4 linked regions of the Saccharomyces cerevisiae S288C genome follow. Changing the gene in region 1 together with any one later gene gives a genetic interaction. Each region holds a gene or a part of one and is shown on either strand. Other genes may lie near its edges. The genes, in order: RER1, SYS1, RGP1 and ICE2.

Region 1 (7,242 bases):
TCATCGTTATTATATCTCAATATTTCCAATTATTTACGGAGCATATCATCACCTTCCTACATGCTGGTCTTCAAGACTACTTGAGAAAGTATTAATAAGATAATTGTATAATATTGAATGAATGCCAATAGTTAGTACGATGCTACCATTATATACAATGTTGTGACAGTGAGATTTAATGCACGTTATGTTTCGTTCTGGGCGTAAAATAATTAGTATAAAGACCGATTAAGCTATCCTTTTTGAATCTAATTCCATTATTTCAGGTACTCTGGCCTGTAGATAAAAAAATTGATTGTAATTCGTGTGATAATGCAACAATAACAATATTTTGATAGAACGAGTACAACACCCGATCCTCTTTTTATGCACAGACTTTAACTAAAGAATGATATGAAACTATTTAACGTGATTTTTTCCTCAATTTATCGTGAAAGATTTTTAACTACAAGTCATGAATATGATAATGGTTACACCAGTAGGTTTGTACTATAATGTGGGTGATGAAACACGGATTATACGCAATATACGATTCTCACCGCATGACAAGTGGATCCCGGGTGGGAAACTGAAGAAATCAATTTTGAAGGTACTGCTCTTCTATACTACTCCACATTTTGAATAATTATGAAGTTTTAATATGTTTGTTATTTGGGGTATATGAATGGGGCGGAAATTCATTTGAATTTTAATTCTACGTCAACGAGTCCTCTCTGGCTAAAATGTATCTAGTACTTTCAATGATTGCTCTAAATCGCGGACATTAAGGACGAACAGAAAAGTATAGGCATGAGTACTAATGGTAAAATTGTAAACCCATCAACATATAGCTTAGATGTTCAAAAACTTTTTCAATCATTACCTTTTTACTGTTAAGTTGCTTTACCAACTTTTTCTTTATTACTTCTATTGAATAATAATATATGAGCAAAACTTCCACCAGTAAACGTTTCATATATCCATTCAATGAAATATATATTTCTTACTATTTCTTTTTTAACTTTCGGAAATCAAATACACTAATATTTTAAATTTTATTTTTTAAAAATAAACTACTTTTTATTTTTTACTTTTTTTAAAAATATAATAAAATCAAATATCATCATGTGACTTATTTGTACTATTTTTTCAATGAATAGCTTTCTGTGGATTTTCCATATTGTTTGGCGCTGATCGCCATGCCATGTTTATGAAATGTATAGGTACTGTACTATAAGCGGAAGGGGAAGGGTTCGGTTTATATGAGTGATTTAGATAAATTTTAGAGTTTAGCTACGCTGCAAGCTATTGAAACTATTGTGTAATAGAAGTGGTAGCAATATGTAGCAAAGAAGACAAGTAATCCTTATATTCTGTTTGACAAGTGTTAGATAAAAAGAAAAAAATTCGAAGTTAATGTTGAAATTTCACTTATTTTAGTCATCTTTGAAAAGTTCATCAAGGTATTGGATGGTATATTTTAAGACACAGCCTATATCTGTTGGTTTGTCAAGTTGCTCACTGTGATTTTTGAAGTACTGAGTACGAATATTTTGCCATTGTTGTTTCCACTATTCTCTATTAGGTCTAGGTATTTTTCACGTTTTTTCACGTCGTTCCTTTTTAGTACACTATCTGTAATAAGTAGTGTTTCTATTGCATCTAATTTTGCAGCTCTCTCGGTTTCTTCCGCGCCATACCATGCTTTGTTATCGTCTTTGCTCAAATGTTCAAGGAAATCGTCCATGATACGGGATTCTTTCAACTTTTTAGTGTTATGCACTATCATAGAGTATTCAGGATTTCTTACAACCTCATCGATTCCCTGTAGATATTTTGTAGAACTAGAACAATGGGCGAAAACAGCTTATCTCGGTTCCTTAAAACTGGCTTATTTGCTCCTTCTCTGCATATATCAGAAATTTTTTCAGCAGTGTCTTCGCATAAAATCCAGGGGAGCATAATATTATTATTCTCAGTTCATCAAAATTGAAATTTCTAACCACTGTGTCATCCGTTCTTTCTTGTCACACAATTTGCTAATATCAGTTCTATCTTTCTTTTTTGGAAACTTCAATTTTAGTTTTAATATAATTGAAGACGCTTTCAATAAGCAAATGCCAGAAAATCCTTCTTGCAGAACCACCGTAGCAGTTTCTGAGTTTGATTTGGAGTCGATTGCTTCTTTCAAAAGTTTTCTGGCACATTTGTTAAAGTGGCGCTTAATAGCAGTAAATAGATGTTCACTGGTGCTAGCTATATAGCGCAGATAATTCTCTATTACATCAAATTCGTGGGATAAGTTTTTTAATCTTACAGCTACTAAATTGGTAACTGTTTTTCTTATCATCTCATTCTTCTTAGTTTTGAATAATTTTTCTGAAATATAACCTTGTCCTTCTTGTCTATTATTATTGATAAATTGTAAAAAGGTCATCTTTAAGTTGACGAATCAACGTGATAATTGTGTAACCGTTATCTTCGCTGTCGTTTTTGCTACAGATATGATTTTCATTTTCCATTGAAGTCTATTGTGCCACTTAATCAAAATGCGTTCGATGATAAATTTACTAAGTTCTTTAATAACTTGGAAAACTAATACACTAAAACACATGCACGCCACGGAGTATGGACATTATAAACGTGTGAACATTTCAAACTCACAACTTGCATGACATTACTCTCTCTTTTGCATCCTTTATTCCTCGACATACCCCATTTCTCACTAATTTGGTATTAGTAATTATGCAGAAAGGTTCGAAGCTGTCAATTCTTTTTAGACATGTTTCTTGAAAGTCTTTACAAAAATTTATCAATTGGAGGCATCTCAAGCTCTCCATTTATAAATGGAAGAAAATGAGCCTCTTCCCTTCAATTTTGCTTAATCAATAACTTCATGTATTCTTCCAATATAAGAGAAGATGAGTAGAAGGAGAAAATAATCACAATTATTCTGTAACTATCATATAATTTTGTTTACATATAATTAAGATACGAATGTGTTCGTTGAATAGGTATGTGGAGTCAGGGTATATCAGTTAGAAGAATGAGAATATTTCTTCTTACCGATATCTAAGGGTATATATCTATATTTTATCATATGTTGAATCTGCCTTCTCATAGTTAAAAAAAACAATAATATGAAATACATCAATAAGATGGGCCAAAATACTGGAATATCGAAGATTGAAAATAGCGACAACAAGAGGGAAATGACAGTGGCTCTAATGCTGTTATACCAGAATTTGAACTCTGGTAATCTTCTGATGAATGGACGGAATTCTTCTGATTTTTCTCCAGCTTCCAATTCGTTGTTTTCTTCATCTTGCTGTAAGGACATATCGAATTTTGGGGTCAAAAAGGCTAAAAATTGATTCAATAAAAATAGACCTAGACCATAACAAATCACATACCAGCCTTCGGCCATTGTAATACGAACCATAAACAAACATAACAAACCACCCAATACAGCCCACCTCTCCTTAGCGTGAGGAGTGACTTTATCCAAATAGTGTTGATATAATAATTTCATTGTATTCATCTTAGTGATTAAGGGGTTACTTGAACCACCGTTCATTGTATCAGAGCTATCGTAATCCATCTTGCTTCCTTTTTTTGATACTCTATGCCTTTCGTGTAACACTTAGTCCCAAATCGAAATCGCCTTTCTTGTATCGTTATTTTTCTTATGTATAATTCGTGTTCTACTGCAGAGGCGTGTTTTGACAAGTTTTTTTTTCCTCTGCGAACGAAAAACCCACAATTTTTAACCTCATTGAGGTAAGGTTTTCCAGAGGAGAGGTTGAGGAGCCCTGCGAAGCAATTATATTGAATCATTCACATGCTTGTTATTGTTCTGCAGGGCTTGGCAGGTTTTTTATCAGTATGCATAATTGAAGGAGAAAGTATACATGAAAGGTTTGACTAACTAAGGGAGAAAACTTCCATTTCTTACATAGATCATCGCCATTCTATGTCAAAAGCGCTATAATAAACTTCATCGATCTATTTACGGGCTTTCATATGATTTATTTCTGCTAGATTTTGTTGGTAATGGTCTGTACTTGTATTGCGCGTTGCATTATTGTTATTCATCTCTGGTGAGGGAACAACTGTCTCAAAGATTCCCACTTTTTTATCCGTTGAATGATGCCCGTAGTATACCTATATCCAGTTTCCTCATTCTAAAAGATTTTTGCGTTTCCTGTTGCTGCATGATGGTTTTAAGGCAGTTATACTATTATAGGTCAACTAAACATATTTATCAGGGCATTTCCATTACTTCCATAATAATTATAAGTGTGTTCCTTGTATTAGGCATATTTACATATGGCTGTTCCATCTCTAATTTACCGTTGAAAAATTCAGGTAAATTTGGCGTTTTCTATTTGGAACACATAAATTATTTGTGGGTAATGGCAAATCTGCTTAAATGTTTCAAGTATGTGCCTCAAATGAGTATAAACTGGATGGGATGCTCAACAGTAGGTTTATCATCAAAGTTTGCATTGATATCATTTTTGGCTGAATCTATCGATTTATTAGGTAGACTGGTAATACCGACCAATGCATTGTTTTACGAGATACCATTTAATTCAACGCCCTTTTGGGTAAAATTGATACAATTTGTCACCTTATTGGTCATACTTTGTCAAGTTCAGTATGTTTACGTAGGACGGAAACCACGGTTGCCAAAAGGAAAACTATAACAAGGTCAGCTCATTCTCTACCTTAATGGCTTTGCGATGTTTGCAAATTTAAGGAGTTTTAGATAATGCATTTATTATTACTATTTTTTCTTTTATTTTTCCATATTTACAGGCGACATACTATGATAGAATAGAATCTAAAGTTTTTTACCCAAAATGGAGGTAGCTATCTTTACACCAGTGCCAACATGTCTTTCTGGGTCTGATTGAAAGTCTTCTAGAGTTACAGGTTTTGTATATTGTAATAAATTATCTAACTCTGCTTTCATTTTTTTTCTTAGCTCTTCATCTCTTGTAATAATGAGAGCATTCGATTCCAAATCTAATGAATACGCCCTTCTCGTATAGTTTGAAGATCCTATAACCGTGATAAAGGGTTTCCAATTGTTAGCATCATTTTTATCACGAGCGGAAAGCCAAATACCTTTTGCGTGATATGACCAACCATTCGGCTTATTTACTACGCCTCTTTGCCATTCTCTTAATGTAATAGCATGATCTTGTCTGTACCTACATACATCTTGTAGAAATTTTTTTGACAGGTACAAGTAAGCACCAGGTAAATTTGATGAGACGCCCTTTGATTGGTAAAAGCCGTTTGCAAAGGGGGAAGCTGTTATTACATTTGCCTCAGCAACCGGCGTTGCCAGCAGTTTTGCTTTGATGTCTGGCAAAATATTGAAGTATCCTGCAGTGAACGTCCAAGAAATGGCATTGCTTGTTATAGTGGAAAGCAATGACAATATTGTTCTTTTTTCGGTCGATTTGTCATTATATTTGGGAAAAAGTGGAGTGAATTGAGAAATTGGGTAAACTAATGTGGAGAATTGACCCACGGCAGTAATCGGGAGGCTTTGTTTAGAACTCTTTAAAAAGCCATCTAGTAATTGAGATGCTTCCCTTAAAAACAGCCTTTTATTTTTCGTCGGTTCAACAGTAGGATTCGAATCTGGCCAAATGATGTTGATGCTACCATCCACCATTGGCTTTATAATCTGATAACTGAAGGAACTTATGAGTTGATGTAATTTAAAATAATAGTTGGAGAAGTTTCGAGATTTAAAGAGATAGTATCTATCTTGTCTGTTGGTGAAATAGTCGTTCGAAAGGTTGGCTCCCGAAAGAATGACCTCGTTATCAAACCCATATATTTTCATATGTTGTAAGCCTAAACCTTCATTAAATCTCTTGGGAACCAAGACTTTTTTCCAACCATGATAAGCAGGCGTCTTGTACAATCGGCAATCCACTCTCTCTGACCCATATTTGGCTACTAAAGACGATAATAAAGTGGCGGAACAGGCGGAAGGCAATTCTCTTGTTCCTCGAAGGCCATCAAGTAGAAAAGAAACTTTCAACTTGGGGTTCTTGGTCAATGCCTGGGATATGCAGTCCACCAACTCAGTCTCGCTTTTGCCTAAATACAGAGACGCAATGAATATTCTATTTTGTGAATTAAGTATTTTTGTCTTCAAGAGATCGTAAAACTGAGATGGAGATTCGATTATATCGATTTCTTTTGCTTGGAAATGAAAGCATGTTTGTAAATTCTGTTGTAGGGACTTAGTGATCGTGTTCAAATAATTGCCAAATGGAGAAGGGTTCGCAGCGGACATCTGCCTTTTTATATTGAAGGGTTTCTGGAGAGGTAGGGATAATAATCTGTAATGAGGACGAGTGAGTTGGAGCAAACGAGTCGTCATTAATATATGTTATCCTGAGTATGCTATTAGCAATTATGGACAAGCTGGGTGTCCTACATTATATCTACTTTCTTGTGTGGGCTGCTTTTTAGGAGTGTTCGGGCGTGAATGTGTCCATGTGCTACTGCTTTTTTATTTATGTTTTCTTCTTCACACATGGGTTACTGGCAGAAAATAAAGAAGAGAGAGGATCAATATATATATATATATGCTAAAAGATTATAATATGAAACTTATTTAAAATCAGGCAGTTAGGAACTCAACATATTTCTATCATTCACTTGTTAGTGCATGAGAAGAAGTAATTGCAATATCACCTAGAATTCCTTCGTAAAATCTTTATATTAACGATGTCCGCATCACTGGCATTTCTTCGAAGCTTAGCTCTATTAGAAAGAGACATCAAAGTTTCATTGGTGACGAATGAGTTTTGGTAAGTGTCAGACCTATCCCAAATATCAGTGGGTTCATCGTCTGTGGTGGTCGTGTTGAATGAATCATTATTATAATGCTGAATTTTTTCGTTAGTAGGCGTTTGGCAAGGGGTGATGTAGCAGTTCACATCATGCGTTATAGTCATATCATCAGCTCCAGGCTCATCATGGAATTTTTTCATGTTAGGCTTTGATATATGCGTGGGATTGGGCTTAGGCATGGGTATTGGCGCAATAGTTTGTCCTCGCATAATGTTGACAATACTAGTGGAAGCACGTTCAAGGACCGTACGTATCGGAGCAAACCACCGTTTCCATTCTAGACTTATGTATACACTGGGTACCCCGCAGATTGAGTGGAACACACCCAATATAAATCCAAAGATGAGTCCTATGATGCTGCCAAAAGCACAAAGC
Region 2 (7,754 bases), on another chromosome or scaffold:
GGGAAACGAACAGATTGCCGCTTTCTGCTTACGATACCAAGAAGGCCTCTTTTACGCTGATTGGTAGCTCATCATTTGAGGAGTACCACCCCCCAAATGACGAGAGTTTACTGGGAAAAGCTAATGGAAACTCTTTTGAGTTTGGGCCTTGGGAAGATATTCCGAGATTTTCTTCAAACGAAACCTTAGCAATTGTTTATTCCCACAATGCCCCATTGAATCAGGTAGTGAATTTGAGAAGAGATATTTGGCTTTCTCATTGGGCTTCCACAATACAATTTGAGGAATATTATGAATTAACAAACAAAGCCGCAAAACTGTCTAAAGGATTTTCAAGATTAGAATTAATGAAACAGATTCAAACTCAGAATATGAGACAAACTCACTTTGTTACTGTCTTAGACATGCTCCTGCCTGAGGGAGCTACTGATCATTATTTCACTGATTTGGTTGGCCTTGTTTCCACGTCGCATGCAGAACGTGACCATTTCTTTATAAGACCAAGATTCCCAATCTTTGGAGGTTGGAACTACAATTTTACTGTCGGTTGGACTAATAAATTGTCCGATTTCTTGCATGTATCCTCTGGCTCAGACGAGAAATTCGTTGCTTCTATCCCAATTCTAAACGGCCCACCGGACACTGTATATGATAATGTTGAATTATCGGTATTTCTTCCGGAAGGGGCCGAAATATTCGATATTGATTCTCCAGTCCCTTTTACAAATGTTTCTATAGAAACCCAGAAATCATACTTTGACCTAAATAAAGGTCACGTTAAATTAACTTTCAGTTACAGAAATTTGATTAGTCAAGTTGCCAATGGCCAAGTCTTGATAAAGTACGACTACCCGAAAAGCTCTTTTTTCAAGAAGCCTCTGTCTATTGCTTGCTATATTTTCACCGCACTAATGGGAGTTTTTGTCTTAAAAACTTTGAACATGAACGTAACTAACTGAGTTCACGTTTGAATGATATATACCTTATGATGCAGAGCAATAAATTCAGTATTTAATTTTTTATAAGTTTTATAGATAAGAATTTTCCAATGAATAAAGGTATTTACAATCATTTCCTAGACATTCTCGTGGTCTTTTCTTTGCACAATCAATGGTCATAGTTTTTTTTGTTTAGTAGTTTAAGGACAGAAGAATAACAAAGATGTTCACGTTTTGAATGTTACCAGACATTCTCAGATTCATCCTTTAACCTAGCGACGCGCACAGGCTCCCAATCCTCTTCAGAAAGACCTTGTAAACGATAATATTCTTCTTTAATATCAAATTCCCTTTGATTCTTCCTTATTTTCAAGATATCCTCTTCATTAATTTCCTGAACTTTACGATCGCCTTGCTCGTACTTGATCGCTGTAAAGCTTGACAACCAAAACGAACCCAATACTATTGTTGCACAAAATGGTAAACCAAAAAAAAGAAAGGGGTGCTTACTCAATGCTTTTTTGTATCGCCCCGCTAAAGATGCTTCATATACTAGCTGCTGTCTTCTAGACCTAAATTTTTTTCCGCTGAACGACATTTAGGAGACAAATTCTGGTAATATTTCAGTTGTTGACTAATATATATAGTGGTTTTTGCCAAAATTAAAGACTTCCTTTTATTAACTAGGTGACCAGATATAAGGAAGTGTATTTGCTTTCTAATAACTTGTGTACGGCCATAACCCGGCTTTTAATCAGTTTATTTAACAAGGTATACAAATCGCCAAACGTAACAAGAGATAGGCGCTATTATTCATTTAATATTGTCGTATTCAAAATACTAACGGTGAACAATTTGCTCCATTGTAACACTATAGGACAAGGCTAATCATGAATAAATATCTCCCCACCCAAAATATTCGTAGCTCGCGATATTCACGGTAATATTCTGTAACTTCATGTTAAGAGATGATCTTTAGGAAGGCTAAGGAAGGGTACACATAGAAGTGAGATAAAAAATAGGCATTTGAATTACTGTAACATGGTTTCGATAAGAAGGTATTTGCGAGTGCCGAATGAGTTGAAACCTTCCCAGATCTTCAAACAAGATTCTCTCTCTCCAAGTAAGATTGGACTTCAAATTGTTCTTTTACAGATTTTTTATTACACCACAGCGATCGTTCTTTTTTATTGTTGGGCGAAGCTAGCGGGATATGATCTCAATATCAAGGAATGGCTGTTTTCTTGGGAGAATATCGACTTTACGAACGCATACGGTTTATCAATCTCACTGTTATGGCTTCTGGATTCATTAATATGTGTTTTTTTCTTAACTGTTATCGTTGGACGGAGTAAACTCGCATGGGATTTTGCTATCACTATACATGCCATCAATTTTATTGTGGTGTTCCTCTATACTCGGAAATTTCCTTCTTTTTCTTGGTTTTTTCTTCAAATTTTATCATCTTTAATACTAATATTTTTGGGGACATGGACAACAAGATGGAGAGAGCTTAGAGACACCTTTTTTGAGGGCTTGGTTGATCCTAATGAAGGAGAAGTTGGATTGGTTACGCCTAGTCAGCAGCATAGTAATCATTCAGAATTGGAGCAATCACCAATACAACTAAAAGACTTAGAAAGCCAAATATGAGAGGAGATGAAACAACATATTCGAGGCAATTTTGGCAATATTATAGTCATTCAAGAGAAAACAGTAAATGTATGAAAAATGGCAAGAACCTTATCTCTATAGGCTTAATAAATCTGCCTTTTTGGCCAATTTTTCAAAACAGATCCTATTTCTTATTTATACACAATCTATATTTAACATAATTAAGTACGTGATGACATTGAAGATAATAATAAGTAAAGAGTTTACGTACTTAAATTTTATATAGTTTTAGTATACTTGCAATGTGTGAATGGATCTAGTAAGCTGAGGTACTTCTCTAGCGTGAATATGAAACGAGTAACAGGGTGGTACATAATTTACGAACAGAACTCAAGTTGATAAATCCTTTGCGTTCTTAACCATTTGTAAAAGTTCGTCAACAACATTGAAAATATTGCTTCGAGCAGATGTTTTATCGTTTCTGCAAATTTCCAGTCCTGAACACCTCTGTTGTCGTAAATGTAATAATGCCACACTGGATTCGATTCTAGTAATTACATGATCAAAAAATAACAACGCATCCTTCTCAGAAATCGATTGCATAATACCATTTTCAACTTTAGGGTTAAATTTAATATAACTTCCCTCCGTCCGAGAGTCTAGTTCAATAAATCCGCCGCTTAAAGCTGACATTATAGATTCCAGTCTGTTTGAAATGACTCTTAAACGAAACAACATCGTTTCATTGATTAATTTTGACTGCTCATCTTCAGATGCAAATTCGTGTCTGGAAGCAAGAATCTTAGGATACGCAATAGTAACGAGTTCTTTGGTTTCGAGTCCCTTTAGCTTATGCTCGCCAAAGTCAAAAAATGCCCAACCAATACTTTCCAGCATGGCAATTTCTCTTTCAAGAACCTCTCCGATAATTTCTTCACCATAAACTTCCTTGAGAGATTCCTTGCCCTTCACTACTCGCTCATGATACTTCATTATCTTGTTGAATTCAGAGTAAAAATCACTACTCATTGCAATCTGACCACCGTCAGCGACGCCCTGGACCCTTGCTGCCTTATTGACCATCGGCCCCAAATAGTCCATTCTTTGAGTCACTAAATCAAGCTCTGGAACTGGGCAGCCCCAATGAATACCCATTCTAACTGATAGGCCTTGATAGATAATGTTACCATTTCTATCCGTAACTTGGCAGCCGTCTTGAACTGAGGTAATTTCCTCCGGCCATTGTGCATCCAAGAGTTTTAATTGAACACTTAAGCACCATGTCAGACCACTAGTTGGCGTAGGAAATGCCACCATAAAGGCGTCTCCTTCTGTCTTTACTTCGTAACCACCGTAAATTCGTAGTTGACGACGCATAATGTCATTGTGAGTTTTTATTGCGGTCCTCATTGCGTTAGGGAATAGCTCCCATAAGAAGGTTGAGCTTTTGATATCAGTGAAGACCATTGCTAGGTTACCTGTTGGCGGAGAAATCTCAGGTTGAAGTCTTCTTAATGTAGTATCCTCGAAAGTACTTCTTCTAGTCATTAAAGAGTTTTTATTTAAAGTGAACCGATTTTGTTGCTGAATGTTCTCGTAAAGAGCAAGGCACAAAATTGTAATATTCTCTGTACAGCCGTAAGCCATGGCATGATCCTTCAACTCAGCTGCGGCACGGAGTGGATCAGTACTATTCTCACGCGCGATATCACAAACTGTATCCACGTCCATGTATTCCCATAACTTATGCGTTGCTACAATAAGCATCTCGTCTGCTTTTGTTAATGTCACGACAGATATGTCGGGAGAAGCATGAATGTGGGGAAGCAAATCAAAAAAACCCACTGCTCTAGACACATCTACAACACCATCTAATTTTCCATTGTTGACATACCCGCCAGATATTCTGATCCTCTCGTATTCTTCCCGCTTTGTTGGGAGATGTTGTTTGGTTAGCGTTTGGTAGTCACCATTGTTTTTGGATAAAATAGCCATACAGTCACCTAAATTTGCAGCGAAGAGTTTCTTCCCTCTGATATATATCACAGTAGAGCAAGCGCCACTTAGCAAGTCTGCATATGAAAGATTGGCAACATCGGCACCATTATCAACAGAATTTAGCATTCCGTTAATCTCCTTATTCAGTTGCAAAAAACTGAAACGAAGTGCAGTTTTTATATTATCATCTGTTTCGTCTCCATACCTTTCCAGTTGTCTGATCAGTATTTTATCGTAAATATCTCTAACAATTCTTGATATATTGTGGCCATAATCTGCATTTTGGTTTTTACTATCATGAAGACATAGTAAGCATTCGTCGTCATTTCCGCGGAATCTTTCAAAGGTAACATCACGAGATGACACATAGTCTCTTTGACCTAATGTATCAGCAACACCGTAGCGCATCCCATTTATTATTGATGCAGTTGTCCTTAAACGGAAATTGACATTTTCATCCGGTACTTTGGTAGTATTTAAAGTTACGTCCATTAAACCTAGTACCTTTAACTGAGGTAATACTGTCAGATCTGACAAATCAGCATCAATATCGTGACTTATAAATGACTTTATTTCAAACCTTCGATTTCCTGAAAAATTCAAATATTTTAGTTCTTTATTATTCCTCCAGTTCCAATCGTAATGATAGTTTGATATATTATACTTTAATTGATTTGCTCCAACATCAAATACACTTAGCTGTGAGAGATTTGATAATTCTGCAGGCAGAGATAACATTTGGTTACTATTCAACATTAAAGTCTTTAAAGAGCTCCATTTCAAAACTGTATCACCCGACAATGTCGTGAGCTTATTACCGGAGAGGTACAATTCGGTAATGCTCTCAAGTTTCATGTGCGATACATCTGAAAAATTGTTGTAAGAAAGATTTAGCACTTTCAGATTGACAAAGCAATTGAAAAGAGGCCACATAGCATCATCAAATTGATTGTCTGCAGCAATAAAAAACATCAGGCTTTTAGATAACTTTGACCCATATGACATGTTATGGTAAAAAGAATTTTCTAAGCTAGAGTTACCGAATGCATTCGATGAAATATTTAGCGATGTTAGTTCAAGGTTTTCCATACCGTCAACAAAGTCCCTTATGTTGTTAGAATGTAGATCTAATGTCCTCAAACTTTTCAGTTGAGATAGCTCGGGTGGAATATACTCTAGTTTGTTTCTCGCCACTGAAAGGAAAACTAATTTAGTCAACTTGGATATCTCCTGTGGCAGTCTAGTCAAATTATTCTGATTAAGTTCAAGTTTCTCGAGGAAAGATAGTTTGGTGAGTAATTCTCCAGGAATACTCGATAACTGTGCCTTGTTCAACGTCAAACTTGTCATGTTTTTTGGATAAAAATCTTTGAAGGATATAGAAGTGATTGGATTCTCTTGAATTTCAAGGGCTCTTAGTTTCGGCAAAGTGTCTTCAAAGTTCGAAATTCTATTATCTGTTAAAAAAAGGTTCTGCAAGTTAGACGCATTTGTCTTAATTGATGATATTCTGTTATATCTTAGGTTCAGCGTCCTCAAATCTGTCATTTCCGATAAGTCGCCTATAAAATTTAGTTTGTTATGAGAAAGGTTCATCTTCGCAAGCTTTACTAGGTACTTAGTGGACTGTGGTAAGCTTTGGATTTTATTATATGATAGGTCTATTTGTAAAAGATTGGTGCAGTAGTTAATAACTTCTGGGTAGTGCATGAACTTGTTTGAAGACAAGTCTAGCAATTGCAGATTTTTCAGTTCAACAAATCCAGCCGGTAGGCTTTCAAGCTCATTACATTGAAGGTTTAATATCGTTAAATTACTCAGTTTCATGATTGAGTTCGGTACTTTTCTTATGAAGTTTCTCTGTAATTCCAAAGATACTAGTTTATACGCCTTAGTGATATTGGAAGGAAATTTAGATGCTCTAATATTAACCATTCTCAAACTTAATAATTTAATCGAGCTTTCAATGAACTCCAGAGGTAGGAATATATTTGCGTTATTAGAAACGTCTAAACTTTCTATTTCTGACGTATGCTGGTAAAAAATGATGGGAGGTGTAGTCAGATCCATATTCCTTAAATCTACGTGAACAAATTCGCTTCTCATTATTCTTTGTTCTTGTTCAGGAGTAAAGTGAGAAGGTGTGACAGGATGGAAAAGAAACTTAAAAACAAAACTTAAATCCTCTATACCCATAATATGAAGTGGGTCTGACTTTCGATAACCATTCAAAAGTAAAAGTTTTCTTTCAATTAAAATAGGTTTCGAAGTTGGTCTCAAAATTTTTGACAACTTTCCCACCTTCAGGGAAATTTGAAAATTCCCTTGCGCTGTAATGTTAAATTTTCTTTTAAGTGCAGGTATTATCTCTTCGACGGTAGTCGCTGGAGTACATGAGAGAGTCGTAAAAGTGTCATCAGTATTGAATATACGAATAGCATAGTGCCTCTTTGGATCTAAATCACTGAAATCTTTATAGTAATGTTCCAGTTGGCACTCGACCTCATCGTCCTTCTCATCTTGTAGTAATAATCCAGAACTCTGGGCACCATCTGGTGAATTCATATTTACCGAAGAGGATGTAAATTTCTTGGTATACGATTTCGTTTTATTCAGGATCGGTGTTTTATTATCCTGCTCTCGGTTGGCCTCCATATACGCGTTAGTGTACGAAGAGGAATCGCTGCAGGAAGATGTATCTTCTGAACTAATAGATGAGGACGGTAAAGATGAGGAAGTGGAAGACGTGTCGTAGTCCCCATCTAAATTTGATGGAGCATATCGTATACTTGGGGGACTCATAGCCAAATTACTTTTTAAGCGGTTCACAGATTTAGTATCGAGTGCGGTCTTGCTATCATTCGGAACGTTTTCTTTACATATATCAACAAAACTTGAGTTACTGTCACCCGCAGTGACCATTGATTCGTTATCCTTTCGATCGTGATGATGACGAGAGTCTTTTTTTGAAGGTGGCCCCGGTGACATGGGATCAAGTTCATCAGCATCTATACTTGACCTTCTTGATTTCGATCTCCCTTTAGGTTTTGTTTTTTTCCTTTTGGTTTCCACATCCCAGCTTTGAGGTGCTACCCATTGTGATCTATCATTGGAAGTTGATGTGAATTCACCATTAGGTGCTGCGGCAGCGACGGAGAGATCAGCCATTGACACCGACTTCCTAGGACCTTCAGGCATGATCAC
Region 3 (8,898 bases), on another chromosome or scaffold:
CTCAACAAAGACTTATATTCCAGGGAAAACAAATGTATGTTCATTCAGTGGTTAATTATCTTTTAAGTTTATTTACGTTTTTGAGACCTTACTAACGACCAGGATAGTGATGATAAATTAACAGTAACGGATGCACATCTAGTAGAGGGAATGCAACTCCACTTGGTATTAACACTAAGAGGTGGTAACTAGAACCATTTTCCGTCATTTATGGAATTTTATCGAAGGTGTTCATTAGAAAAGAAGACAAAACGAACATAAGTTCACTTGGACTTTGGAAGGCTACCGCCCCCAATTTGTCAAAAAAAAAAATACATACAATTTAGTCTATAGAGTCTGTTATAATAAATTAATTGTTTTTAGACGAGAAATGTGAACTAAAACTGTTTAGTATCTATCAAATTATCCGTTATAGCATAGTACGGCTATATATGGTCTGATTGCTGGTCTCATATGACTTTATGGTTTAAATTTCATAAAGCTGGCCATTGCATGGTTCGCGCTGGAAAGAGAGGAAAAGCGTGGTGATAAAGAGCAAACCAAGCATACTGTTATATGCGATTACAGACTATCTGACCAAAAGACATATTTCGCCATTTCTTCTCAATCATGTCTTCCAGGGCAATTTTGTAAGCACGATTGGATGTCCTCTTGTAGTATACCGAATTTCTCATTAAGAAAAGCATCCTTTGCGCTACAACTTTATCAAGTGGAAGTATATACTAAACTCGGAGCATGCTTTTGCCAACGATATCAGTCTTAGCAAAGGGACTTCTAAGGACGTTATTGACGCCTGATTAATCTAATCAAATATAGGTTTGTCATTTTTTTAAACCGAATGGATTGACTTTTGTTTTCATCATAAGTATTACTCTCTGATAGGATCTCTGTGGTACGCTAAAATCTATCTGAATTGTTTGGGACACTATGCATGAATTTCTTATCAGTTTAAAATTTCTATTAAGAGGATAATTTATTTCATATCTTGGGTAGATGAACCATTAGAAATGTTCGAAGTAGCTGCATTGTTATCTTCTGTTTTTGGATTTTCTAGTTGAGCTGTTGTATTCTGTGGAGCAAACTCCCCGGCAACACCACTGTCAGGATCTTGCGAAGAAACTTCCGAGCTTTTTATTTTGGTATTCTCTTCTGATATTTCTCCCTTTGGTTGCGTCTGTTCGCTCTTCAACTCATCTCCTTCTGTTTGAGAAGCGCTGTTTATACGTTGCGACTTAATTTTTTGCTCTCTTTCAGGAAACGAAGCCTCTTCTTCCAGTGCCCTCTTCTTTCTTTCCTTTCCAATCTTGTACTCCCTAGCATCCTGAAGTTTTTTCCTGTGCTCTTGATTGATTTTGTACAAAAGTTTCTCTTTGAAACTATCATCCAACGCTTCCACTTTTCTGGGTTCCTCGAACAAACCATCAACACCAGTCTTTTCGTTAACTTTATCAAAATCGAACAAGTATCGCGATCTTAGAAACCGTAAAGTTTGCCATTGTCTGATTATTTCATCTTTCGCTTCTCCACCGGAAGTTTCAGAAGAAATTTTTGATTCCCATTTCGCTTGGGCTGCTTCATAGACACCTTCAGGCTTCTTTACTTCTTGCTCAATTTTATCTAGACCAGTAGGTATTTTCCAAACATTATTAATCAATTTATTCCCCATCTTGATGAACGTAAACTTTTTAAAAGTTTCGTCAAAAGCGGGTGGCGGTATCTTCTCCTTAGATATTCTGAAGTTTTGGAATTCTTTAAAGCCATCGATCTTGGCGGTTGTAAACTTTTCGTCAGAAGACATTAATTTGCGGATAACACGATAAAAGTCAGGGTCTTTAATTTTATAAAATTTCAAAACACGATTGTCGCAAATGTATGAACATAAATTGAGCCCACGCTTTTTGTTAACTTCATCAAGGTTCTCAAAATCAATATCGCTCAACGGGTTTTCCCTCAAATAGCAGCTTTTATAGAAATTCCTCGTTTCATCAGAAGAAATTAAATTGCGTATAAGATTTGTTGTGAAACATAGTTGTAAAATGAACTGTTTGCGGTAGTAATCATCGTCCTCTTGAGTCAATTGTTTATAAAGGCAGGTCGTATTGCTCAAAGAGATATCCATAATGGTAGGTCGAAGAGTGTAGTCATCTGATTCTTTAATATTCTGTAGATTCGCCCAAAATTCATTCCTGTCCATTTTCATTGCGTTTGAATGCTTCATATACACGGGTAATTTAGGGGTCATAACATCGTAATTCGCGTAATACTCAGTGTTCAGAGCTTCCTCTAAGGAATATCTAGTCCTATTGTTCATCTTGATTTTGCTGTAAAAGTTCTCTTCGATTTCCAAGATTGCATCAAGAAGGGGACTTAATGATCTGTCCACATCATTTTTATATTCTAAATCGCTAAAAGCAAATTCGATCGGGCAAATAATTAGATGATAAAACACGAAGTTATAATCTGCAGCAAATATAACGTCGGAACTGCGGTTGCTTTCTCGTTCACGTGCTGATCTGTTCCATTCGTTATCAGATTCTTGTAAAGCTGAAATAGAAGCGGATCTATTGAAGTTCGATTCTTCATTTATAGGTAGTAGCTCGGATAAAAAGTTCTCTAGTTTGTATTTCATATTATAATGTTTGACGGTATTAAGGATGTCATTATTCTCTAATTTAGCTAAAATATCGTTCCAGTGGCGCAGCTTTTCGTATAAAGGCTGTTTGTAACTAATCAAATTGCTCTCCCCCAATGATACTGGCTCAACAGATGTATTCATTTTGAACCATTCGATACGTGATTCAGCATAGGGCCAAAACTTCAAAAACGTAGATGGTGAGTTTAGCAAATCAATGATGGTGGAAAATAACTCGAAAAAGGTATTTCCCCAGCTAGCTGGATTAGATCTATTAAATCTTGAGTTATACACAAAATCGAGACCTATACACGAATTTAGTAACCCTTTTTCAAGATTATTTTCTTCTTCGTCTTCAATAGCATTTGTCATTGAATCTATAATGAATCTTTTAAGTATAATGTCAATCAAAGAATCTCTATCATGAATTGCCGAAATATTTTTTTCGAGCGGTTCCCATTCAAAATTGAGAACACTTGCATGCAACATTGAAGATGGAAGTGGTTCATGTCGAATGGAGTCAAACGAAACTGGGAGTGCTTTAAAAGTTTTCTGGAGAAAACCTATTGAGTTTTGGATCAATTCCTCGGTATTAGACATTATTACTCCTTTGCCCAAGTTTTAATGCCTCTTGAATTGTTAAAATCATCTATTAATTTACTGATCAAGCTATGGCAAAAACCTGATCATTCTAACGAAAAATGTCATTAGAGAAGCAATATGCATCGTGCGAAATGAGCAGTCTTGAAATCGCACGGACAGCAACCCATGACATCAAGAGATGACTATTACGACAATAAAGCCGGTTAACTAACTTATAAATGTATCTGTACATACCCTTTATGAAGAGAGTATAGTAAATCCTCTTTACTGGATTGGATTCAAATGCAAAACCAATTATACGAGTAAACTGCACCCATTTATTGCTTACCATCCCATGAAATCTTCGGATGTACACAGTATTGGAATGGGAACGTAACATGTAAACTCTTCACCTTCTAAATTCTCTTTTGAATGGAATAGGATGCCCTTTTTATCCTCATAAAATTGATCCAAAGTGATACTTTCTGTCTTTGCAATTATTACAAATTTTAGTCCTATCATCCACTTATGTTGAAAAACATCTGTCTTGAATTGTCCGGTAATCTGGTTTGTAGGCGATCTTGGAGGAAGTAATTTCACCGATACGGACTTGCACTCATCGAAACAAATAAAATGTTTCTCATACACCGAGTTTCCTTTTGGTTTGCTCCCTATTCCTTTTCCTTCAGTCTTATATTTTGGATTTATAATTTCAAACGATTCTAAGGATACAGTCAACGAAGTCACTTTAAGTAAAGGCGTCGTTATCGGATCTAATTCAATGACTAAATTTATATCATCAGTTGTCTTATAAAAAGGTGCTGATAAGGATACTTTTGCCATAGTCTCATTATTTCTGTTAATTTGATATGCGTTCTGTAAATTAATTAGCTGAGGTAGAAGATTAGAATTCTCATCTGACTTAACGAGAGAACAATCGTTCCACATCTTTTGCTCGAGGTTAGAAATGTTATCGCGTACCGAATAACTTTTTCTCCTCTTAGTTACAGCATCGCTTCTCAGGCTAGACTCTGCAGACGTCACCATTTCGTTCGAAAAGTGTGAGTCGTTGGGTTCAGGATCCGAAGAATCCTCATCCTTTCCGAACTGTACCCCCATTTGCAAGTCAATAAGTTCGTCTATATCTCTTGACACATTTTGGTTAGATTCCACCAGTTCAATGAAGTTTTTTTTGACACGCTTGACAAATTCATTATCTTCTAATGGAGAATCAATGTCAATTATAGAAGATTTTCTCCTACCAAATGATACAGCAGAAGCCGTAGAAACTTTTCGAGTAAACAAACGTGGCTTTAGTTCCTTTATGTTACCTGTCTTTAATATGATAGCAGGCTTATCCAGACGTGATGTGTACTGTTCGGCATTCGAACTAATATATGGTGCTATTGTTATTGGGACTCTATTTGAAAATTTCTCGATATTATCATCAGAAAGTACATCCGCACCAACCTCCAGCGTGTAATTTATTGATGCCACTTTTGACGATGAATAACTTGGGCATATATCTTTTGGCAGCTTTGTGGATTTAAAATAGAATGTTCTTACTTCACCTGGTTCTAAAGAAATTTCAGAAAATAAAAGCGTCTGTGGTATTAAAAGAAGAGGTAATGTTTTTATACTGGTATCGTTTGATATCATTAAGGTCCGTTCGTTATAGGTACCTGTTCTTCCCCTAGAACCGCTTTCTGAGAAAAGAAGACCATTGGTCACATTTGTATAATCTGAGTTGAGGTAGTTGGTTAAATTTCTTTTACCTTTGAAATGTTCTCCATCTTCCAATGCAAGAACAGAATTTGTCGTATGTCCAGGTACAATATCTAGTCCTACCATTTTTACTTCATCTTGTTTAAATTTTGACTCTGAAATTACCTCTGAATCGTATTGAAAGACCCCCGATATTTGAACATAACCGGATATTAACGTTACAGGTTGATGAAAATACATTTGCTTCTGTATTTTTTCTCTTAACATCTTACTCTCATTTAGCATTTTCATGTTATCCACATCCACACTCTCTTCAGGTTCGCCTGTTCTTTTGAAGGCACCTAGTAATGATTTTAGGGACCAGGTTTGATTTTCCATCGTGCCTTCACCATCATCTTGCACTTTCGCTTGTTGTTCCAACTTCTCTTCAACAGCTTTATCGACAGTGAGAAGCTTTTCTTTATAGTTGAACAATTCATGCTGTGAGCCTAGGTGCTTAAATCGGAAAGCAATTGATATATGTTCTCCACCAAAATAGGAATTCGATTCATGTATGATCTCCAGTTTGATGTTTTCTCTTATGAGAAATGTATCGATTCTGTGCGCACGCATATCTTCTTCTAAAGTATGAAAAATATCACAATCAAAATCAACAGCTCAAGAAATTATGGGCTAGCTTTCGCTGTTTGTTTCGACTGGCAGCCTTTGCATTGCCCCGTAGGTATCAAAGCTTCTTTGAAGCTGAATTGATCTTGAAAAATAGCACTTTGGAGACGCGCCTTACGCTTTATAGGAGACTTCGGAGTAGACTTCGATTAAAAAATAAAAATTACACAAGAAGTTCAAGTATTATGTTTAATATTCAAACAACGTTTCCACCTCATGGAGAAATGAAGACTTTTATCGTTCTCCGTGAGGTGGATTTACTGTTATTGTCGTTAGAGTTCATGAATGTTTCTCTTGCGCGAGCAGATCTACTGGTCAGGAATCTACATTACTTTGCAATCCATAGTACGCTTGTTATGCTGCATCAATACGAATATATATATCTAATGCTAACATCTGGTTTCTGTAGATATCTTGGCGTGTGTTTCTTTATGATAATACAAAAATATGTAACTCCTGGTGTGATGCTTGGGCGGTGGAAGGTTACGGCTTAGTAATTACGAAATTGATGAAAAAAGTTAGCAGCTGCTATAAAAGGTGCGATAACCTCTTGTGATCATCTGCTATGTGGAAGCTGGTTTACAACCTACAATTTTTCAATTAACAGTTTGAGAATAAATTAGGGGTATCGTACTACCGTAAAGAACAAGAAAATGGCTGGTAATCTTGTTTCATGGGCCTGCAAGCTCTGTAGATCTCCTGAAGGGTTTGGACCTATATCCTTTTACGGTGACTTTACTCAATGCTTCATCGACGGTGTGATCCTAAATCTATCAGCAATTTTCATGATAACCTTCGGTATCAGAGATTTAGTTAACCTTTGCAAGAAAAAACACTCTGGCATCAAATATAGGCGGAATTGGATTATTGTCTCTAGGATGGCACTAGTTCTGTTGGAGATAGCGTTTGTTTCACTTGCGTCTTTAAATATTTCTAAAGAAGAAGCGGAAAACTTTACCATTGTAAGTCAATATGCTTCTACAATGTTATCTTTATTTGTTGCTTTAGCCTTACACTGGATAGAATACGATAGATCAGTTGTAGCCAATACGGTACTTTTATTCTATTGGCTTTTTGAAACATTCGGTAATTTTGCTAAACTAATAAATATTCTAATTAGACACACCTACGAAGGCATTTGGTATTCCGGACAAACGGGTTTCATACTAACGTTATTCCAAGTAATAACATGTGCCAGTATCCTGTTACTTGAAGCTCTTCCAAAGAAGCCGCTAATGCCACATCAACACATACATCAAACTTTAACAAGAAGAAAACCAAATCCATACGATAGCGCAAACATATTTTCCAGGATTACCTTCTCTTGGATGTCAGGTTTGATGAAAACTGGCTATGAAAAATACTTAGTGGAAGCAGATTTATATAAATTACCGAGGAACTTTAGTAGTGAAGAACTCTCTCAAAAATTGGAGAAAAACTGGGAAAATGAGTTGAAGCAAAAATCAAATCCTTCATTATCATGGGCTATATGCAGAACTTTTGGATCTAAAATGCTTTTAGCCGCATTCTTTAAAGCAATTCATGATGTTCTAGCATTTACTCAACCACAACTACTAAGGATTTTAATCAAGTTCGTCACAGACTATAACAGTGAGAGACAGGATGACCATTCTTCTCTTCAAGGGTTTGAAAATAACCACCCACAAAAATTACCCATTGTAAGAGGGTTTTTGATTGCGTTTGCTATGTTTCTGGTGGGCTTTACTCAGACATCTGTCCTGCATCAATATTTCCTGAATGTCTTCAACACAGGCATGTATATTAAGAGCGCCCTAACGGCTTTAATATATCAAAAATCCTTAGTGCTATCTAATGAGGCTTCTGGACTTTCCTCTACCGGTGACATTGTCAATCTCATGAGTGTGGATGTTCAAAAATTACAAGATTTAACACAATGGCTAAATTTAATATGGTCAGGGCCTTTTCAAATCATTATTTGCTTATATTCTCTGTATAAGTTGTTGGGAAATTCCATGTGGGTTGGCGTGATTATACTAGTTATTATGATGCCATTGAACTCATTTTTGATGAGGATACAAAAGAAGTTGCAAAAATCCCAGATGAAGTACAAAGATGAAAGGACCCGTGTTATAAGTGAAATACTAAACAATATTAAATCTTTGAAGTTATATGCATGGGAGAAGCCTTATAGGGAAAAGCTAGAAGAAGTAAGAAATAACAAAGAGTTAAAAAATCTTACAAAACTAGGATGTTATATGGCTGTGACAAGTTTTCAGTTCAATATAGTACCATTCCTTGTTTCATGTTGTACCTTTGCTGTATTTGTTTATACTGAGGATAGAGCATTGACTACTGACTTAGTTTTCCCTGCTTTGACTCTGTTCAACCTGCTCTCATTCCCACTAATGATTATTCCTATGGTTTTAAATTCTTTTATCGAAGCTTCTGTTTCTATTGGTAGATTATTTACATTCTTTACCAATGAAGAGCTACAACCAGATTCGGTTCAGCGTTTACCAAAAGTAAAAAATATTGGCGATGTAGCCATTAACATTGGAGATGATGCTACCTTTTTATGGCAACGGAAACCGGAATACAAAGTAGCCTTAAAGAATATTAATTTCCAAGCTAAAAAAGGAAATTTGACCTGTATTGTTGGTAAAGTTGGCAGTGGTAAAACAGCTCTATTGTCATGCATGTTAGGTGATCTATTCAGGGTTAAAGGTTTCGCCACCGTTCATGGTTCTGTTGCTTATGTTTCACAAGTTCCATGGATAATGAATGGTACTGTAAAGGAAAACATTTTATTTGGGCATAGATACGACGCGGAATTTTACGAAAAAACGATCAAGGCCTGTGCGTTAACTATTGATCTTGCAATTTTGATGGATGGAGATAAGACATTAGTTGGCGAGAAAGGGATCTCCTTATCTGGAGGACAAAAAGCTCGTTTGTCTTTAGCAAGAGCAGTTTATGCGAGAGCTGACACTTATTTACTTGATGATCCTTTGGCAGCTGTTGATGAACACGTTGCCAGGCACTTGATCGAACATGTGTTGGGTCCAAATGGTTTATTACATACAAAAACGAAGGTATTAGCCACTAATAAGGTGAGCGCGTTATCCATCGCAGATTCTATTGCATTATTAGATAATGGAGAAATCACACAGCAGGGTACATATGATGAGATTACGAAGGACGCTGATTCGCCATTATGGAAATTGCTCAACAACTATGGTAAAAAAAATAACGGTAAGTCGAATGAATTCGGTGACTCCTCTGAAAGCTCAGTTCGAGAAAGTAGTATACCT
Region 4 (8,462 bases), on another chromosome or scaffold:
GCTGGCTTCATTGCTACATGGTCCGCCTTATATTTGATTGTAGGGGGCAAGAAGTCCTTTAGTGCGTTAAGATATGGAAGAACTTGGCCGTTGGTGCTATCCTCGGTTTCATTGGCCAACGCAGTCCTTTATGGCCAACGGTTCCTTGCTACCGGATTCCAGTGATGCTTACATCTATTAATGTCTTAATATTTAATTTTGTATCCTCTGTATTATCTGTATGAACCACGTGACTTAACATGAATGGATTTGCTTCCACATCTTTCACCTCTTATCATACGTTCATAACTTCTTCATCCGAAGTCAGATTTGACCCTCAAATAGATAAGACGCCAAGAACAAGCGTCAACGGAAAGGCGAATTCTACAATCAGGACATAGCATCAAAGAGAAAAGGAATTCTAAGGTATGGAGGCTACATCAAGTGCTCTTTCGTCTACGGCGAATCTCGTTAAGACAATAGTTGGCGCTGGTACACTTGCCATTCCGTACAGTTTTAAAAGCGATGGTGTTCTGGTAGGGGTTATTCTTACATTATTGGCGGCGGTAACATCCGGTCTGGGTCTCTTTGTGCTATCGAAATGTTCCAAGACCTTAATTAATCCAAGAAACTCTTCTTTCTTCACATTATGCATGCTCACCTATCCCACTTTGGCCCCAATTTTTGATTTGGCAATGATAGTTCAATGCTTTGGTGTGGGCTTAAGTTACTTAGTTCTTATTGGTGATCTCTTTCCAGGACTGTTTGGTGGTGAAAGAAATTATTGGATAATTGCATCAGCTGTAATCATCATTCCCCTATGTTTAGTGAAGAAACTAGATCAATTGAAGTATTCTAGTATTCTAGGTCTTTTCGCGCTAGCATACATATCAATTCTGGTGTTCAGTCATTTTGTGTTTGAGCTGGGAAAGGGTGAATTAACAAATATATTAAGAAATGACATATGCTGGTGGAAAATTCACGACTTTAAAGGATTATTATCAACTTTTAGCATTATAATTTTTGCTTTTACGGGATCAATGAACCTATTCCCCATGATAAATGAATTAAAAGACAACAGCATGGAAAATATCACTTTCGTTATCAATAATTCGATATCCTTATCAACAGCACTATTTTTGATCGTTGGTTTATCAGGATATTTAACCTTCGGTAATGAAACCTTGGGTAATTTAATGTTGAACTACGATCCTAACTCAATTTGGATAGTAATTGGCAAATTCTGTCTTGGCTCAATGTTAATTCTTTCCTTCCCGCTTCTCTTTCATCCGCTGCGCATAGCAGTTAACAATGTCATCATCTGGATTGAGATCACTTATGGTGGGGCAAATCCCGAAGAGGACCCACAAGTTTCGGAATACACTCGTGCTTCCAACCTAAGACCAATTAGCATGACTGTGGAAGATCCAGCCCAGCCCAGTGATGCACTAGACGCAACTTCTTATAACGAGCAAGAATGTTTACTACCTAACGGGAACTTTGATAATGGTTCAATTGAAAGTCAAGAGAACAATAATGATGAAAGAGGGACTATGGCGGTCGCCGGGGATAACGAGCATCATGCGCCATTTGTTAAGTCTAGATTTTACTGGATTACTGCATTATTACTAATAAGCATGTATACCTTGGCGTTGTCTGTCCAGTCATTTGCACTGGTTCTTTCATTTGTAGGGGCTACAGGTTCAACGTCTATTTCATTCACTTTACCTGGATTATTAGGTTACAAATTAATAGGCTTGGATTCTTTGGCTATTGGGAAGATGATTCCACCAAAAGATAGATTTTACAAAAGGTGCAGCTTATTGCTAGTCTTCTACGGACTATCTGTGATGTTTTTGTCATTGTATGTAACTGTATTCAACCGTTCAGATGAAGCCTAAATGGACCAATAGTCATGCAAGAGAAGTATAAAACAGTATATAGTAAATAGTAAATAGAATCAGAGACAGCAGACTCAAAGTTTTATGCTTAACGCGATCATCGACTAGTTTAATACTTTATTCTATGGCACTTACAAAAAGGTATTACCCTGCTAAACAATAAAGATCCCTGAAAAAATGGAGCAGGCTCAGAGAATGTGACTTCATGCGCTTTAGTGGTAAAAATACTGCCTAAATAGTCCCTAAAAAAAAAAGAATAAAAAATAACTCCGAAGCGGGGAGTCGAACCCCGGTCTCCACGGTGAGAACGTGATGTGATAGCCGTTACACTACATCGGATTTGATTAGCTTGATTTGAATAGAAAAACATGTTACCATATCAGTAAATATGAATGATCTTTATTTATATATATATGTCCGGAAAATTGTAGGAATAAAAACCTGTTGGAGTAAAAATCAACCATCATCTATCAACTAGTAGTTACACTATCAATATATTATCATATACGGTGTTAAATGGTGACGCAAGTTATGAGAAGCTGTCATTGAAGTTGGAGGAAGCTGAAATGCAAGGATTGATAATGTAATAGGATAATGAAACATATAAAACGGAATAAGGAATAAAACGGAATGAGGAATAATCTTAATATTAGTATGTAGAAATACAGATTCCATTTTGAGGATTCCTAAATCCTCGAGGAAAACTTCTAGTATATATACTGTATACATAATATTATAGCCTTTATCAACAATGGAATCCCAACAATTATCTCAAAATTCACCCATTTCTCTCTTATATACCATAAGAATATACAGTATTTATCCCTAATTATTACTGCCTTTCAATTACTGTTCATTGACAACTGGGAACAAATAAGCAAGCCGTATTAATAACCACGGTAATTACTGTTGGAACGAGAGTAATTAATAGTGACATGAGTTGCTATGGTAACAATCTAATGCTTACATCGTATATTAATGTACAACTCGTATACGTTTAAGTGTGATTGCGCCTATTGCAGAAGGAATGTTAAACGAGAAGCTCAGACAATACTGAAGCTGTGTTAAAGACCTATTAGTTGAACATGTTATGGTAGGTACATATATGAGGAATATGAGTCGTCACATCAATGTATAGTAACTACCGGAATCACTATTATATTGGTCATAATTAATATGACCAATCGGCGTGTGTTTTATATACCTCTCTTATTTAGTATAAGAAGATCAGTACTCACTTCTTCATTAATACTAATTTTTAACCTCTAATTATCAACAATTACATATAATTATATGTTCTGTTATGGTTTTCTGTACTATCGAGGAGAACTTACAGTATACCCAATATATCCATAGATTTGCTTTTAAAAAAATGCAATTTACATTATTATTTGAAGATTCACCTGTGTTTCTAAACACGAAATTAAAAAACGTCAGTAATTCATATCGTTCTTAATAATTATTTCTCTCTGCGTTTTTATACCCTGTCACCCACTCTCCCACTACAATGTTAATCTTTACGCATCAGCTTCCGGAGACTATTAACATTTTTAATCAATTCAGCCGATGTTATAATCTGCTTCATTTTCCGAAGATCATATGTGATAATGGCACGAAAATATCGAACGCTAGACAGTGTGCAGTAGTCCATTTTTGTTTCAATCGCAATTAAATGCTATCCAGATTCAAGATACTATCGAAAAAACTACAGTTGTTAAACCTCGTCACCGCCTGACGATGATTTGTTTGCAAAAGAATCCTCATACACATCAAGAGGCGCACTATGTGATTCTAAATGGTCCCCGTAAAAGGCGAATAACTTCATATTAAGAATTGCATTAAGTTGCCAAAAGAATAGCTCTAAGAGTCTGTTTAGATCAACAGTCTGATCAGTTTTAAAGAACTTATTAATCTTTACCAACGAATAAACCCCAAAACAGAACGTTCCTAGACATAGGAGTGAATGTTTGAATTTGAACCACTTGGGGTGGTGAGCGTTTGCATTACAGCGAGAGCACGAAAATTTCGAGCACCGTTTTGTTTTCCTTTTGAAGTAGTGCTTCCCAAAGTTACCATCTTCTAGCAGTAGGAGTTGGTGCGTAGCAAAAATAAACAGTGATATCAAATCAAAGACAAGTTGTACCTTCAAAAACTTTGCAACTTTTGGATGCTGCTTCTTTAAAGGATGCAATGGCGGAATTAGAAATGTGTCAACTATATAGACGATATCGGCAACTCTTGATAATTTTTTAACCATTATAAAAAATCTAGATCGGGGTACTTCAGTTTGGTCTATTGCGACACTCGATTCCAATTCCCTCGTACGTTGCATTCCCAAATTTAAGAATGGATTCTTCTCATTATTCACTTTTCTAAGAGGGAAAGAATAATAATCCAAGGATGAAGATCATCTTAAGTACCTCTTATCGTTGTGATAAGAGAAGAAAAAGGGTTCTTGGAAATTAGCAAAACAGAAAAAAAAAAACCGAAATAAAATTATCTAGAATAATCTGCATCGGCTTCAGGTTAAAATCTACCACGTAATAAAAGTAGTATTTCAGGGAAATGTTATATATTTATATATTTATGTGTCTACATATTAGAGTATGAGTTAAAATGTTCATTGTATTTATTAGAAAATAGTGGTGAGCGTAAGGGATTTTCACTATGAACGTGCAAGGGACTAATGCAAATAATAACAAAAAAAGAAACTAACCAAATGTAAAAATGGTTCAGGAATGGCACTTAAAACAGATATCATCTATCACTTAGTTATAAGTCAGTTGGTATTTCACCTTCCTTTTTGTCTTCGCGTATTTGGCAAAGCTGGTAATGCGGCTCTTTTGACAATGCATCAGCTTCAACTACCAGAACCTATTAATTCTGTAGCGTATACCAAAATAGTACAGAAAATGTTGCACCAGTTCCAAAATCCCCATGAATCTACTATAATTTCTGGTTGATCTACGCCAAACCACTTTTCACTGCAACCCCATATGCACAGGTCTTTCTTTAGCTCACCTGAATATTGTAAAATCAGGTGAGTATACATAGCAATTAATATGCAAGGACTGTACCAATACAATCCCTTCATGATCCTGCGACTCTTGCGCAACTGTTTGTCATTTTTTCTTTGTAATGCTGGAATAATCCTCGTTGCCGAGTAAAACATCAGAACTCTAAAGCATAAATTGATTACTATAGCTGGGGAAACTGATTCGCTTGCCATCTTAATTGTAACTTGACAAAATTCATTAATGGATAGCGGAACACTAAAGGTGAAATTCTTGAAAAATTTCCAAAATGGTTTAGATATCAAGGATACTTTTTCGAATGATAGAATGCTAATGAGTTTATCATGAAAATCACCGGTTTTCTTTCTTCCTCTAGGAATAAAGGACCCCCATAACACCTCTGCATTTTTCAATATGACATTATGAAAGTAGCACAAAAGATTGTCAGCTGTGGGCAGATTTCTTTGATGTTTCTGCCAGACGTCTTTGAACAAATTTAAAATTTCATCAGTCGCGGTAGTAGCTAATTTGGGGGAAATTTCATAAATACAACGAACAATATACGCAAAAAATAAAGAGCTCTCTATGACGGATCCTTTTTGACTCACAATACCATACAACCCCAGTCCACATACCATAGACAAAACAAGTCCTAATAAGGACGCCGTTTGGATGGATAACGGCCATATGGGGGTGACATAAATCCGATACAAATAGTACAGCGATGCGGTAATCACACCTCCGGAGGTTAACAATGAGGAAATAATCCACGTGTTTGAATTCAAGTCATTTGATAACCATCTATTAGTTTCCCCGACGGCCTGAATGGCTAAAATAGTGAAAAAACCTTCCGATAGAGTAAAAAAAGGTGTGGACTTGGTAAGCACGAATTGCCACGGTTGTACAACAAATCGATAGTAGTAATAATATAAGACGTAGTTAATTTGATTGGAATTCAAGCTATTTTTCAAAGCTTCCAGGAACGACTCCGACTCATTATATTTATTTTTCAGAACGTTTCCCAACTCATCATTAGAAAATCCAGACAAAAACAGGTATAGCAAAGATGCAATGATAAAATGTTGTGAGTAATACAGACAGTTGGTAAAAAAAATGTATAGTCTTCCTCCATGTCGTCTTGCCAACACGTTAAGAGTCGTAGTTATGAAATATAAAGTGAACAGTGTCACCGTGAAGGAAAGCCCGCATTCCAAACCACCAACTTTAAACGAGATTGGAATTGAAAGTAGTGTGAATAACAGATAGAAACATGCTGCGCAGATTCGTCCACTCTGCATGAAGCTTTTGGACAAACTGGTCATCGTTGCCTAATCTTTAGCGTGATCGGCCACAAACAGCACCTCTCTAATAGATCTAAGCAATTACGCGATGGGCTGAGGGGAGCAAAACGGAAAAAGAAGCTTCACGAATACTATAAGATCCACCAACACTTTACGCACAGCCCTTCCAGTATCACTACACCTCGATCCTTTACCTATGTTCATCTTCTCATCAATCATCTCTCCGAAACCAGTAACCGCTCCAGTCCCTTGCTTCGCTTCAAGCTGATGCGATTCCTCGTGTACCATGATCTGAAAAATTTTTCCTTCGCAATACTACTATAATTTAGCTCATCGCATATTTTGCAATAATATAATACAGGGAATAAACTGCATTGGTTCAGTGAGACGGTGGTATAATTGCGAAGTGACCAAATTGTAATGAGTGACAGTTCTGTGAGGGAAAAGAATGATAATTTCCGTGGCTATCGGAAAAGAGGAAGACAAGAACTGAGGAAGATTAAAAGATCTTCTGCCAGAACTGAAGGCGGAAGCACAGAAACATTAGAGGACGTAGCAGAAGATATTGACCATAGATCCGATGAGGATGAAGTGTCCGATGTCGACAGTGGCGATGATTTCGATATTGAGGATGAAGAGGGTAAAAAGGAAAAAGTTTATGACGCTTTATTGACGATTCTCAAATCTGAACATCCAGAGCCAAAAAGAAGAAGGCGAGAGGCTGACGAGAGTAACAAAGCTCCTGCCGAAGTTGGGGAGGATGAGCACGAAAATACAGAACATGGACCAGTGGATGATCAATTGGAGATAGAGAATGGCCTTTTGGGTAATCACGAGGATGATAACGACGATGACAGCAGTGGAGACGAAAAAGATATAGACAGTGAAGATGAGCAAGATCCTTTCGAGTCTCATTTCAACCAAGTTCCGGAGAAATTCGTTGATAAGTTGTCGAATGCTTTCAAGACCAAAAGTGTAAAATACAAATCCGTAAAGGGCTCACTAAGTGACAGTGAATCATATATATATGCTAAACCGGTAGTAATTGGTGAGGAAGCATTGGTGGAAAGTCCGTACAGGTCATCATCTATATATTCATACTTTTTGAAACAAAGGCTAAAAGTGCAAAATGGACTATTGGATAAAAAAACTGATCCATTGACTGCTTTGCAAAAAAAATTAGTAGACCCCATGTTTCAGTATAAAGACATATTATACGAGTATGACTCCTACGAAAAGGACGAAGACGAGTACAGAGATTTATATGCTTTGCATGTTTTGAATCACATCTACAAGACAAGAGATAGAATCTTGAAAAATAATCAAAGATTACAGGATAACCCAGACACTGAACACCTAGATCAAGGTTTTACAAGACCAAAAGTGTTAATTGTAGTCCCTACTAGAGAGGTGGCGTACCGCGTTGTAGATAAGATAATTTCAAAATCTGGTATAGATCAGGTTGACAAGAAGGGAAAGTTCTACGACCAATTCCGTGACGACTCCTTACCTCCAAAGTCCAAACCAAAATCTTTCCAACACATATTTAGGGGGAACACCAACGATTTTTTTGTTGTCGGTCTCAAATTCACAAGAAAGGCTATAAAACTTTATAGCAATTTTTACCAGTCTGACATTATTGTATGTTCGCCATTGGGTATTCAAATGATCTTAGAAAATACAGATAAAAAAAAGAGGCAGGACGATTTTTTGTCCTCAATAGAGTTGATGGTGATTGATCAATTACATTCAATAGAATACCAGAACATATCTCATATTTTCACCATCTTTGACCATCTTAACAAAATCCCGGATCAACAACATGAAGCTGACTTTAGCAGAATTCGGATGTGGTACATTAATGAACAAGCTAAGCTCTTCAGACAGACAATGGTATTCACAAAATACATCTCGCCAGCGGCTAATTCATTAATCAATGGTAGATGCCGTAACATGGCAGGAAGATGGAAGAATCACAAGGTAATAGGATCAGAAAACTCCAGTATTGGGCAATCCGGTTTGAAAATCAGGCAAATCTTTCAAAGATTTGACATTATTGGGAATTCGATTATTGAAGAGCCTGACTACAGATTTAAATTTTTTACAAGTGTCATCATTCCTGGTATTGTCAAATCCACCGGGTATGAAGACGGAATACTGATTTACATTCCTGATTACACTGATTTCATTCGTATTAGAAACTACATGAAAGAGAAGACGACGATTTTATTTGGGGATATAAATGAGTACTCTAGCCAAAGACAGCT

The links.
Region 2: mutations in RER1 (region 1) and SYS1 together harm fitness more than expected from each alone (negative genetic interaction), as found in Saccharomyces cerevisiae (5 studies listed by BioGRID, with this or other methods).
Region 3: mutations in RER1 (region 1) and RGP1 together harm fitness more than expected from each alone (negative genetic interaction), as found in Saccharomyces cerevisiae (4 studies listed by BioGRID).
Region 4: mutations in RER1 (region 1) and ICE2 together harm fitness more than expected from each alone (negative genetic interaction), as found in Saccharomyces cerevisiae (5 studies listed by BioGRID, with this or other methods).

The regions. Positions count from the first base shown.
Region 1 is NC_001135.5:108,254-115,495, reverse strand, and holds RER1 (protein retrieval receptor), read right to left. Parts: upstream 3,581-7,242; coding exon 3,014-3,580; downstream 1-3,013. Other genes in the region: YCL001W-B (uncharacterized protein), read right to left, coding at 1,472-1,726; YCL001W-A (uncharacterized protein), read right to left, coding at 1,955-2,416; YCL002C (uncharacterized protein), read left to right, coding at 3,821-3,862, 3,939-4,688; PGS1 (CDP-diacylglycerol--glycerol-3-phosphate 3-phosphatidyltransferase), read right to left, coding at 4,826-6,391; LDB16 (Ldb16p), read right to left, coding at 6,705-7,242. UniProt on the Saccharomyces cerevisiae protein: Involved in the retrieval of endoplasmic reticulum membrane proteins from the early Golgi compartment. Required for correct localization of SEC12, SEC71 and SEC63 in the endoplasmic reticulum.
Region 2 is NC_001142.9:426,426-434,179, reverse strand, and holds SYS1 (Sys1p), read left to right. Parts: upstream 1-1,979; coding exon 1,980-2,591; downstream 2,592-7,754. Other genes in the region: dolichyl-diphosphooligosaccharide--protein glycotransferase subunit OST1, read left to right, coding at 1-959; COX16 (Cox16p), read right to left, coding at 1,180-1,536; CYR1 (adenylate cyclase), read right to left, coding at 2,943-7,754. UniProt on the Saccharomyces cerevisiae protein: Necessary for the targeting of ARL3 to the Golgi. Involved in protein trafficking. May serve as a receptor for acetylated ARL3.
Region 3 is NC_001136.10:724,912-733,809, reverse strand, and holds RGP1 (Rgp1p), read right to left. Parts: upstream 5,552-8,898; coding exon 3,560-5,551; downstream 1-3,559. Other genes in the region: NEDD8 family protein RUB1, read left to right, coding at 1-34, 108-192; HPR1 (Hpr1p), read right to left, coding at 974-3,232; ATP-binding cassette glutathione S-conjugate transporter YCF1, read left to right, coding at 6,259-8,898. UniProt on the Saccharomyces cerevisiae protein: The RIC1-RGP1 complex acts as a guanine nucleotide exchange factor (GEF), which activates YPT6 by exchanging bound GDP for free GTP. It is thereby required for efficient fusion of endosome-derived vesicles with the Golgi.
Region 4 is NC_001141.2:191,349-199,810, reverse strand, and holds ICE2 (Ice2p), read right to left. Parts: upstream 6,217-8,462; coding exon 4,741-6,216; downstream 1-4,740. Other genes in the region: AIM19 (Aim19p), read left to right, coding at 1-165; AVT7 (Avt7p), read left to right, coding at 408-1,880; YIL089W (uncharacterized protein), read right to left, coding at 3,595-4,212; rRNA-binding ribosome biosynthesis protein UTP25, read left to right, coding at 6,616-8,462.